Rattus norvegicus: one gene and its partner. The protein of the gene in region 2 interacts with the protein of the main gene of each other region in a pairwise test. Links are inferred from orthologs where the notes say so. Each region holds a gene or a part of one and is shown on either strand. Other genes may lie near its edges. The genes, in order: Ribc2 and Rad54b.

What was found.
Region 1: the proteins of Rad54b (region 2) and Ribc2 interact in a two-hybrid assay, tested with the Homo sapiens proteins (2 studies listed by BioGRID and IntAct). The two-hybrid records come from large-scale screens. The link is inferred for Rattus norvegicus from reciprocal best matches to the Homo sapiens genes RAD54B and RIBC2.

Annotation. Positions count from the first base shown.
Region 1 is NC_086025.1:118,121,070-118,125,646, reverse strand, and holds the start of Ribc2 (RIB43A-like with coiled-coils protein 2), read right to left. Parts: upstream 2,881-4,577; 5' UTR 2,709-2,880; coding exon 2,595-2,708; intron 1,454-2,594; coding exon 1,372-1,453; intron 171-1,371; exon of another isoform or gene 68-170; intron 1-67. Other genes in the region: Smc1b (structural maintenance of chromosomes protein 1B), read left to right, coding at 3,022-3,130. UniProt on the Homo sapiens protein: Microtubule inner protein (MIP) part of the dynein-decorated doublet microtubules (DMTs) in cilia axoneme, which is required for motile cilia beating.
Region 2 is NC_086023.1:29,828,098-29,832,348, reverse strand, and holds the start of Rad54b (fibrinogen silencer-binding protein), read right to left. Parts: upstream 2,885-4,251; 5' UTR 2,801-2,884; intron 1-2,800. UniProt on the Homo sapiens protein: Involved in DNA repair and mitotic recombination. May play an active role in recombination processes in concert with other members of the RAD52 epistasis group.

The DNA of each region.
Region 1 (4,577 bases), on a different chromosome or scaffold from region 2:
AAAAGGGGGAAATTGTAACGGGGCACTTGTGCTATATACAACACAGTTCTCAGAATGAATTTTTTTTTTAAATATGGAACGCTTCGCGAATTTGCGTGTCATCCTTGTGCAGGGCCCATGCTAATCTCTGTATCGTTCCAATGTTAGTTAAATTGGTGCTGCTGAAGCAAGCACCAGAATGAATTCTTAAAGGAGAATACCAGAGGCCTAGTGGCAGCTGCATGTGTCTGTTATGTTGGTGTTTGAATTACTTTACAAATCAAAATAAACAAGGCTGAAAAGTTTGGAAAATGTATAATAGTATAAAAAAATGGCAATTTCCCTCATAGTCCAACTATTCCGACATTAACCGCTGACAACGGATTCTGTCTTTTTCTAATCATGCTTTAAGACGTAAGTTGGTGGCCCATTTGTCTCTAAAAATTTGTATGTCCAGTTTTTTTATATTTAAAAGCCCCTATGGTATTTTTAAAAAAGCCAAATGTTCAACAGTTGGTGAAATTGCTGGCCAAGAAAGGAAGACTGGATTCTGTTAGGAATTTTGATCTAGGACCTAGGACACGAATTGAGCCATGTAAATCACCCAGATGGTTCAGAACTTAAAACTCAAAGCTGCTTTTTCTTGACAGGAAGAAAATGCCCACTTAGTTAACCGAGCACAAGGAAGTGTGAAATTTTAAAAGAAAGACAGTGAAAATGATAACCACGTGTGTATGAGTGTGCAATCGAACACGTATGTGCATGAGCGGGTATATGTGTGTGCATTCATTCGTGCTCCAGCATTGCAAGTGTCACTTGATATCAGCAGCTGTCCTCCCTAGGCCAGTGTTAAGTTTTGAAGCAGAGAATGGGTACATATGTACTTAAAGCTTTTCCTTTTTAGAGAAAAAAAATTAAAGAAAACACAAAACAATCCTAACTTTATTTAAAACATGTCTCCTAAGATGTACATTAAAATTCAATAACTTCTTTTTCTTGAGAGGAAGGATATGCTTATTAAGTTAACTGAGCACAAGAAATCACAAAATTTTAAAAGGAGAAAGACCATAAAAATGATAACTCTGGGGGTTGGGGATTTAGCTCAGTGGTAGAGCGCTTGCCTAGCAAGCGCAAGGCCCTGGGTTCCATCCCCAGCTCCGAAAAAAAATGATAACTCTGTGTATGTGCTCACACCTGTGCGTGAGTGTGTGCTTGAGTGCATGAGTGTGTGTGTGTGTGCGTGTGCACGGGCTCCTGTGTGTGCACTCATGAACAGTCAGGCCACTGAGTCCCAGGGCCCAGGAGACACAAAGCAGATGCCATGGTTTTCTCAATCATGGAAAAAGAAAGACATGAGGCCCTAAGATAGATGGGCCTTTTAGAAATGCTCACCAAAGGTTTCATCCCTAGCTTTTTCAGTTACTTCTTTTATCTTCTGGTTACGAACTTGAACATCCCAGGCTTGTGTGTCTCCCTAGGAATGTTAAAGGGAAGAGAGGTTAGAGCCAGCTATCGGTATTCAGTAGGCCACGACTCTCCCCACCCCACCCCGTCCCCAACATTGTTTTTTTGTTTGTTTGTTTGTTTTTCTCCATCTTTATTAAATTGGGTATTTCTTATTTACATTTCAATTGTTGTTCCCTTTCCTGGTTTCTAGGCCCACATCCCCCTCCCCCTCCCCTTCTCTATGGGTGTTCCCCTCCCCATCCTCCCCCCATTACCGCCCTCCCCCCAACAATCCCATTCACTGGGGGTTCAGTCTTGGCAGGACCAAAGGCTTCCCCTTCCACTGGTGCCCTTACTAGGCTATTCATTGCTACCTATGCAGTTGGAGCCCAGGGTCAGTCCACTTATAGTCTTTGGGTAGTGGCTTAGTCCGTGGAAGCTCTGGTTGGTTGGCATTGTTGTTCATATGGGGTCTTAAGCCCCTTCAAGCTCTTTCAGTCCTTTCTCTGATTCCTTCAACGGGGGTCCCGTTCTCAGTTCAGTGGTTTGCTGCTGGCATTGCCTATGTATTTGCCATATTCTGTCTGTGTCTCTCAGGAGAGATCTACATCCGGTTCCTGTCAGCCTGCACTTCTTTGCTTCATCCATCTTATCTAATTGGGTGGCTGTATATGTATGGGCCACATGTGGGGCAGGCACTGAATGGGTGTTCCTTCAACCTCTGTTCTAAACTTTGCCTCCCTATTCTCTCCCAAGGGTATTCTTGTTCCTCTTTTAAAGAAGGAGTGAAGCATCCGCATTTTGGTCATCCTTCTTGAGTTTTATGTGTTCTGTGCATCTAGGGTAATTCGAGCATTTGGGCTAATATCCACTTATCAATGTTTAAATAACACTCCTCTGTGAAGCCCTCTCTGTTTCCCCTCCAGGCTCCAGTCGGTGCTGGTGTGGATCCCACTGCATTTTCTGTGTTTTAAAGTCTGTCTCTTTCACAGTAGTGAAAGGTCTCTCACTTCCTGGACCCAGGGCATTTGTCACCTGGGGAACTGGCTCCTGCTGGGCCATTCCTGAGCAGGTAAGGATTTCCAAGTCCACCCGGCCAAACTTGGTGCTTTCAAATAAAGGCTCCATCAGAGCCTTGGCTCCTCTCTGTCCCGTTCCAAGTGTCTCACCCCAATGATCCTGTTTCTGGCGTCGAAGATCTGTCCCTGCCTGCACAGGTCCATGTACCGCTTCTTGGCTAGGCTGGCCTCCTGTTGTAGGTCTTTAGGAATTGCTACCTCCATGGCTCTGGAGTTTGGCAAGGCTTCAGGGGCTTTCTGAACAAACACGGTAAGAAAAGCCCACAGAAATAAGCTACAGCGCCGAGAAGCAGCGCCCACAAAAGTTTGAGAGCAAGTCTGTCCCAGCGGACACAGGCAGTCCGCTTTCCGCAACGATCTTTGTGGCGCAGGAATCGGATTCCCCGGGAGACGCCAACCTCGGTTGCTAAGCAACGGCGCCTCGCTCGCTCGCGCCAGTCTCGCGAGACTTAGAAAAATTCTTCCCGCGCTTTTCTCACGGGCGCACGAGGGAGCGGCTGAGGCACGGAGCGCAGCCATGGGGCACCTTGAGTTGCTGCTCGTGGAGAATTTCAAGTCGTGGCGAGGCCGCCAGGTCATCGGCCCTTTCAAGAGGTTCACCTGTATCATCGGCCCCAACGGCTCGGGTAACCAGCACCCCAGAAATCCGCGGCCTCGGGGATCCACGGGCCACAGTCGCCCGCTGTAGACCTGAGGGGACCCAGGGACCTACTCTCGCCTGTTGTTGGCCTGAGGAGACCGAGCCACCCCCAGCCCCCATTGTCGTCTCCTGTGGGTCTGCGGGGACCGAGACCACAAACCCCAACTCCGTTGTTGCCGTTGTAGTCCGGAGAGGAGCCAGGCCCTCTGTAGGCCTTAGGGGACCCAGGGTCCCATGTTAGACTGAGGGGGCTCGCTGTCGGCCTGAGGAAACCCGGGGGCCTGTCCTCACCCACTGTTAGCCTGAGGGGACCGAGGCAACTCCAGGGCCTCGCTGTTGCCTGCTGACTGCCCCCTTCCTGCTCCTACTCCACTGTTGACTGTTGTAGGCTCAAGGGAACCCAAGGACCTTTTGTTGGTCTGAGGGGACGGAGCTACCCCAGTCCCTGCTGTTGACTGCTGTAGGCCTGAGGGACCCACTGTTGGTCTGAGGGAACCAAACCCTGTCCCCAGCCCAGTCAGTCCGTCTGTAACCCTCCTCCACCTCCCCACGCTCCCCATCTATCTGAGGGGATCCAGGGGCCTCTGTAACCCCATTGTTGGCCTGAGGGGACCGAGCACCTATTCCCCCCAGCCCATCCACGCCCTCTCCTTCACCCGCTGTAGGCCTAAATGGGACCCAAGGGCCTGAGGGCCCACTGGCCTGAGGATTCAGTGTTTGCTAATGGACTATGCCCAAGAGCCCAGAATCCTGGGCCACCAACCCTTGCTGGCTGTCCTCATCCCCCCTTGGCCCTCCTGCCCTGTAGTCCCGTGTCTCGTAACCCCCCCCCCCCAATCCCATCTCAGCCCAACAGCAGCAAGTACTAAGAATGAAATGGATTTGTCCTTTGTTGGAAAAAAAAAGCACTTGTAACCCAAACATAGATCCTAATTTAGAGCCTAAACGTTAATTTCTGGAATAGTTTTCCTAGTGCTGTGTTTAAATCATTCACTGCAGATGTCTTCAGTCTGAGCACTTAAAAGTTTTTTAGTTTTGATAGAACAGATTCATCTTTAATATTCATTATATAGCAAATCTACCATTGGGTGAAGATCTCCACGACTACCCTGTGGTTTAATGATTTGCTAAGAGATCTTTCAGTGTTTGATTTATTGTTTACTCAAGGTTATTATGCATTACAGTTGAGAGGTATAAAGCAAACTCAGCAGTGGGAAAAGATAAATTCCTTCAGCAGTAAGTTCTCATGTTGAAATGTCACCTACCAAAGAATCTCATGGACACTCAGTGCACAGGGAGATGGCCATGCCCTTTTCTAGCACATACCAAAATTCCAGACTCCTAGAAGGAAGCACATATTTAATCCTAGTCATGTCTCACCAAGTTTAGGCACCATGAGCCATTATTACCAAGACATTGTAGATCCCTGTCCA
Region 2 (4,251 bases):
TTCCTTAATTAAATCATGGGACATAGGAAGACCCACATTTAATCTTGATATTTTGAAGTGGGAAGATACACCTTTAATCCAGGTCTAAGAAGGAAGTTTGCTCTTTGTGCCGGCTCTCCCCCTCCCCCTCCCCCTCTCTCCCTGGTTAGTTCATCCCTTCACTGGCATTCCGGTGTACTCAGCATACACTGAAGACCAGCTGAGACATCCAGCCATGGACTGAACAACCAATGGATTCTTGGACCTCAGAGAGAGGGGGGGGGGAGGGGGAGAGGGAGACAGGGGGAGAGGGAGAGGGGGAGAGGGGGAGAGGGGGAGAGGGGGAGAGGGAGGGGGAGAGGGAGGGGGAGAGGGAGAGAGAGAGAGAGAGAGAGGGAGAGGGAGAGGGGGGAGAGGGAGAGGGAGAGGGGGAGAGGGAGAGAGAGAGAGGGGGAGAGGGAGAGAGAGAGAGAGAGAGAGCGAGAGCGCGAGCGCTCCAGTGAGCGCAAGCTGGGAGCAGCTAGTCTTCGCTGCAATTTTACAAAACACTGCCCAGCATATACATAGTTACCAAAATCATTTGGTTAACTCAGAAATTTGACTCTTTTTATAAAGAAGTATCAAAAATATGCTTAAATGATTATGTACAAGTACTTTAGTACCACTTATAGCAAAAAAAAAAAAAAAGAGCCACTTATCCATAACAGCACTAGATGGATAAATCATCCACCCATGTTCACAATGGAACAGTCTCCACGAGCTCCTAACATTCTGAGTCGGCTCCTCCACCTAGACGAGTTCTCTTTTCCTCTAGACTCTGACCACTCTTTCCTCTGATGAAGCTGGGACGCTTTTTTCTTTAATTCTACCTTATCCTTAGGAGCACTCCGCATGTCCCAACTAACAGCTTAGGCCCCTCGAATATGTCCACTCCCCAGGCACTCTTCATGCGGCAATAAAACTGCCCCATTGTTTCCCACTCCAAAAAGAAGTTTGTTAGAAATTGATCTAAAAATAGAAATCCAAGCCAGGTGGCGGTGGCAGCAGTGGTACACTAGTTTAATCCCAGCACACAGAAGGCAGAGGCAGGGGGATTTCTGTGAGTTCTAGGCTAGCCTGGTCTACAGGGCTAGTTCCAGGATAGGCAAGGCTACAAAGAGAAACCCTGTCTTGAAACACACACACACACACACAGACACACACACACACACAAATAGATAAATACAAATAAAATTTTAAGAAATATAAATGAATTTCATGATAAGACTAGCACCTATGACATGAAAACACTTATTATCTCTACATGTTAGAAATAACAAGTGATTTTATTCTGAGTTCTTTACAAATTTCAAATTTCCCACAAAGATGATGTTATCTTTATAATAAACTAGACTGGTTAAATTTATCATATTTTGTTATATCTGAAATGCCACCAATTTTCAAATATACCATTATTTCTTATATTCAAAAACAGTCCATCGTTGCATTGATAGCTGGACATTCAGCTTCATTAATGTTAAAGTGAAATACGTTAACTGTTTGATGTCAGTTTTTACTAGTTTAAAAGATTTGGGTGGAGGTCGTGCTCTGTGGTTCCTTCAAATACAAACCATCATTACTAGCAAAATCTTAAATCAAATTATGAAACTGGTGGTCTGTTGATCTAATCTGTTGGTGCATTTTAAAGTAAACTACAGAAATCAGTTTATTTCCCCACAAATACTGACATCTTTACTAGTTTGTTTTGTTTTCTGAGACAAGGGCTCTCTGTAGGTCCCAGACTGGCTTTGAACTTGAGATCTTCTATCTCCTGCCAGGCTGTAGCTGGTTTGTAAACTAGTTTTGCGGAGACCTTTTTTACACGCCCTAGAAATAAAGCCACTTGGCATCTCTACTGAAATGCTAGGATTTCGTGCACCTGACTGAATCTTTGGCTAAGATAAGGTCACCCCAGGAAAACGACCAGACTAGGCTGAGATCAGGAACACATCGTGTGTGCCTTAATTACTGTGCACCAATGACTTTCCCAGCAGGTGATTCTGCAGTTAGCTTAAATGCATGTGTTTTCTCCTGTGTCTTAATCACTCTTAATCACACTTAAGCATACAACTATGCAACCGTGAGATGAAATATTTTAAGAATTTAGAGCAAAGCTTGGTGCACAGTACTCAATACTTTCTGTAATATTATTACTTATAATTACTGTTGCCTGTTTAATCCACAAAATCCTAAGAAAGTAGAAAGTAGAAACAACAAAGGTCCCATGAAAGGGAAAGACAGAGGGATGTAGTTCTGCCTACAGGATCGTAGCCAGAATCTCTGCCTTCCTCTGGACTTCACTGAGGAAAGGGTGTGGCAAACTCTAGGATGCTAGAAAATAAATAAAACCCCACCAGCCAGCAAAAGACCTCCCTTGCTGTTTCAGCTTTCTGGCTTGTAGCCAAAGATTTCCATTTCAAACTGTAAATTCTCCTTAGGCTTCGGGACTCCAGTCCACCTTCCTACAAAATCCTCCATAATTAATGTAAATGGTTTGTTTGTTTGTTTGTTTTTGGAAGCAGGGAGCAGAGAGAACCAGTCGGTAAGTGCATCGTCTAGGAAAGGCGCTGGATAGTTCTACAACCCCTTGGCTGACACCTGCTGTTCTCAGGCCCCAGGCGGCTTCGCGGGCCCCGGCCCCCGCGACCCCGCAGGACCCGCCCCCTGTCCCGCCCCAAGCCAGCCAGCGCCCGGGCTCTGGCCGCCCCGCTCTCCCAGGACCTGCGCCATCCTTCACCAGGCACCGCACGCGCCACCCCGGGTCTCCGCGGCAGAGACTTACCCGGCAAGCTGACTGAAACCGCGAGCACCCGGCAGCAAGTAGCAATGCCTTAGGCCGGCCAGCTCGAGCTTCCCGCCTTCATACAGCCAACCGCCGACCCGGCGCCGGGCATGCGCACCACCACGCCGGTTCCGTCCCCCGACTCTGATTGGACGACTGTCGGAACTCTGGAACCTTTGCACTTCCTTTTACTTGCATCTAGGGTTGGTTCCGGTTGACTGCTTAGATCCAAAACCTATGGGTTTGGTTCCAGTCTTCAGATTCTAGCTGAAGCGACAAACCTCACAACTTAAATCAGTAAATTATGATTCGGATCGTAGAAGTGTGTGCATCACTGAGGTACATGAAATCCTGTTATTTAAGTGACACTGAGTAGTAATTGCAGAATCTTTTACAAGCCCTTTTAAGTTCTAGGAGTAGAAAAACAAATGCGTGATTATGGAATCTCGTGAAAAAGAGAAAGGCTCCTTTTGATTTAAAAAAAAAACACTATTTATAAAGTATCGTAGACAAGGTCGTGGTATCATTCAAAGCATTACCCAAAAGAACTTCCAAATGCTACAATAACACCAATCTTTCTGCCCTAAAAAAATCTGGAGTTGGAGTTAGATACGTTTGAAAAGAGAGTGTTTAAAGGTCATTCGCTGGATTTTATACAAGTTTGACCAAAATTAAAAAGCACCCTGTTCTGGCCTCTTCGAACACTGCACACATGTAGGGCACCAACATAAATGCCCGCAAAACACCTATACACATAAAACTTAAGTAAACCCTTCCTCCAAAAACACAGGTTTTTAGAAACCTTTGATCAGTGTAACTTCAGAAGCCACCAGCCTCGCATATTTTTCTCTTGAGATGTCCACACCCACACTTATGTCCCTAACAGCTACTATTTCAATTAAAGACTTGCTTAAATCTATGTTAAGATCCCTTAATAAACTAAAACTTGGCTTCAGACTGACTTCTGAAATTATTTTCTATGACAAATCAAGAATCCCAGCTTCACCTGAGTGGAGTCCCCTCTGGCTGCTCTAGGTGGGGGAAGTTGTTGTCTGCTGCCTCTACTCAGCAGTTGCTATGGTGCCTCCTTTTCTACGGGCTGTCAGAAAATCATATCCATTCTTCCACATGTCCTCTCTTGACCATGGCCCAGGATGCAGCTGAGAGTATTAACAAGAGTTTAGCTAGGGACAGAGTAAACCCAACGGGCTGTAAGGGAAACTAATTTTATGGGAAACCAATTTTCTCTGTCACTCTGAGTTCAGCTCAAAAACAGTATCGTTCAGATTTAAGCAAGGCAAAAAAAAAAAAAAAAAAAAAAAGGAAATCGAAGCTAATGATAGAACATTCACTGAAGTTATCTGGGTTGCCAAGGTAGCTACCTGCTTACTTTAGTCTTCCCCCCCAAAAAGCCTCCTTCCTTTCAAAGAAGGGATCAAAACACCTGTCTA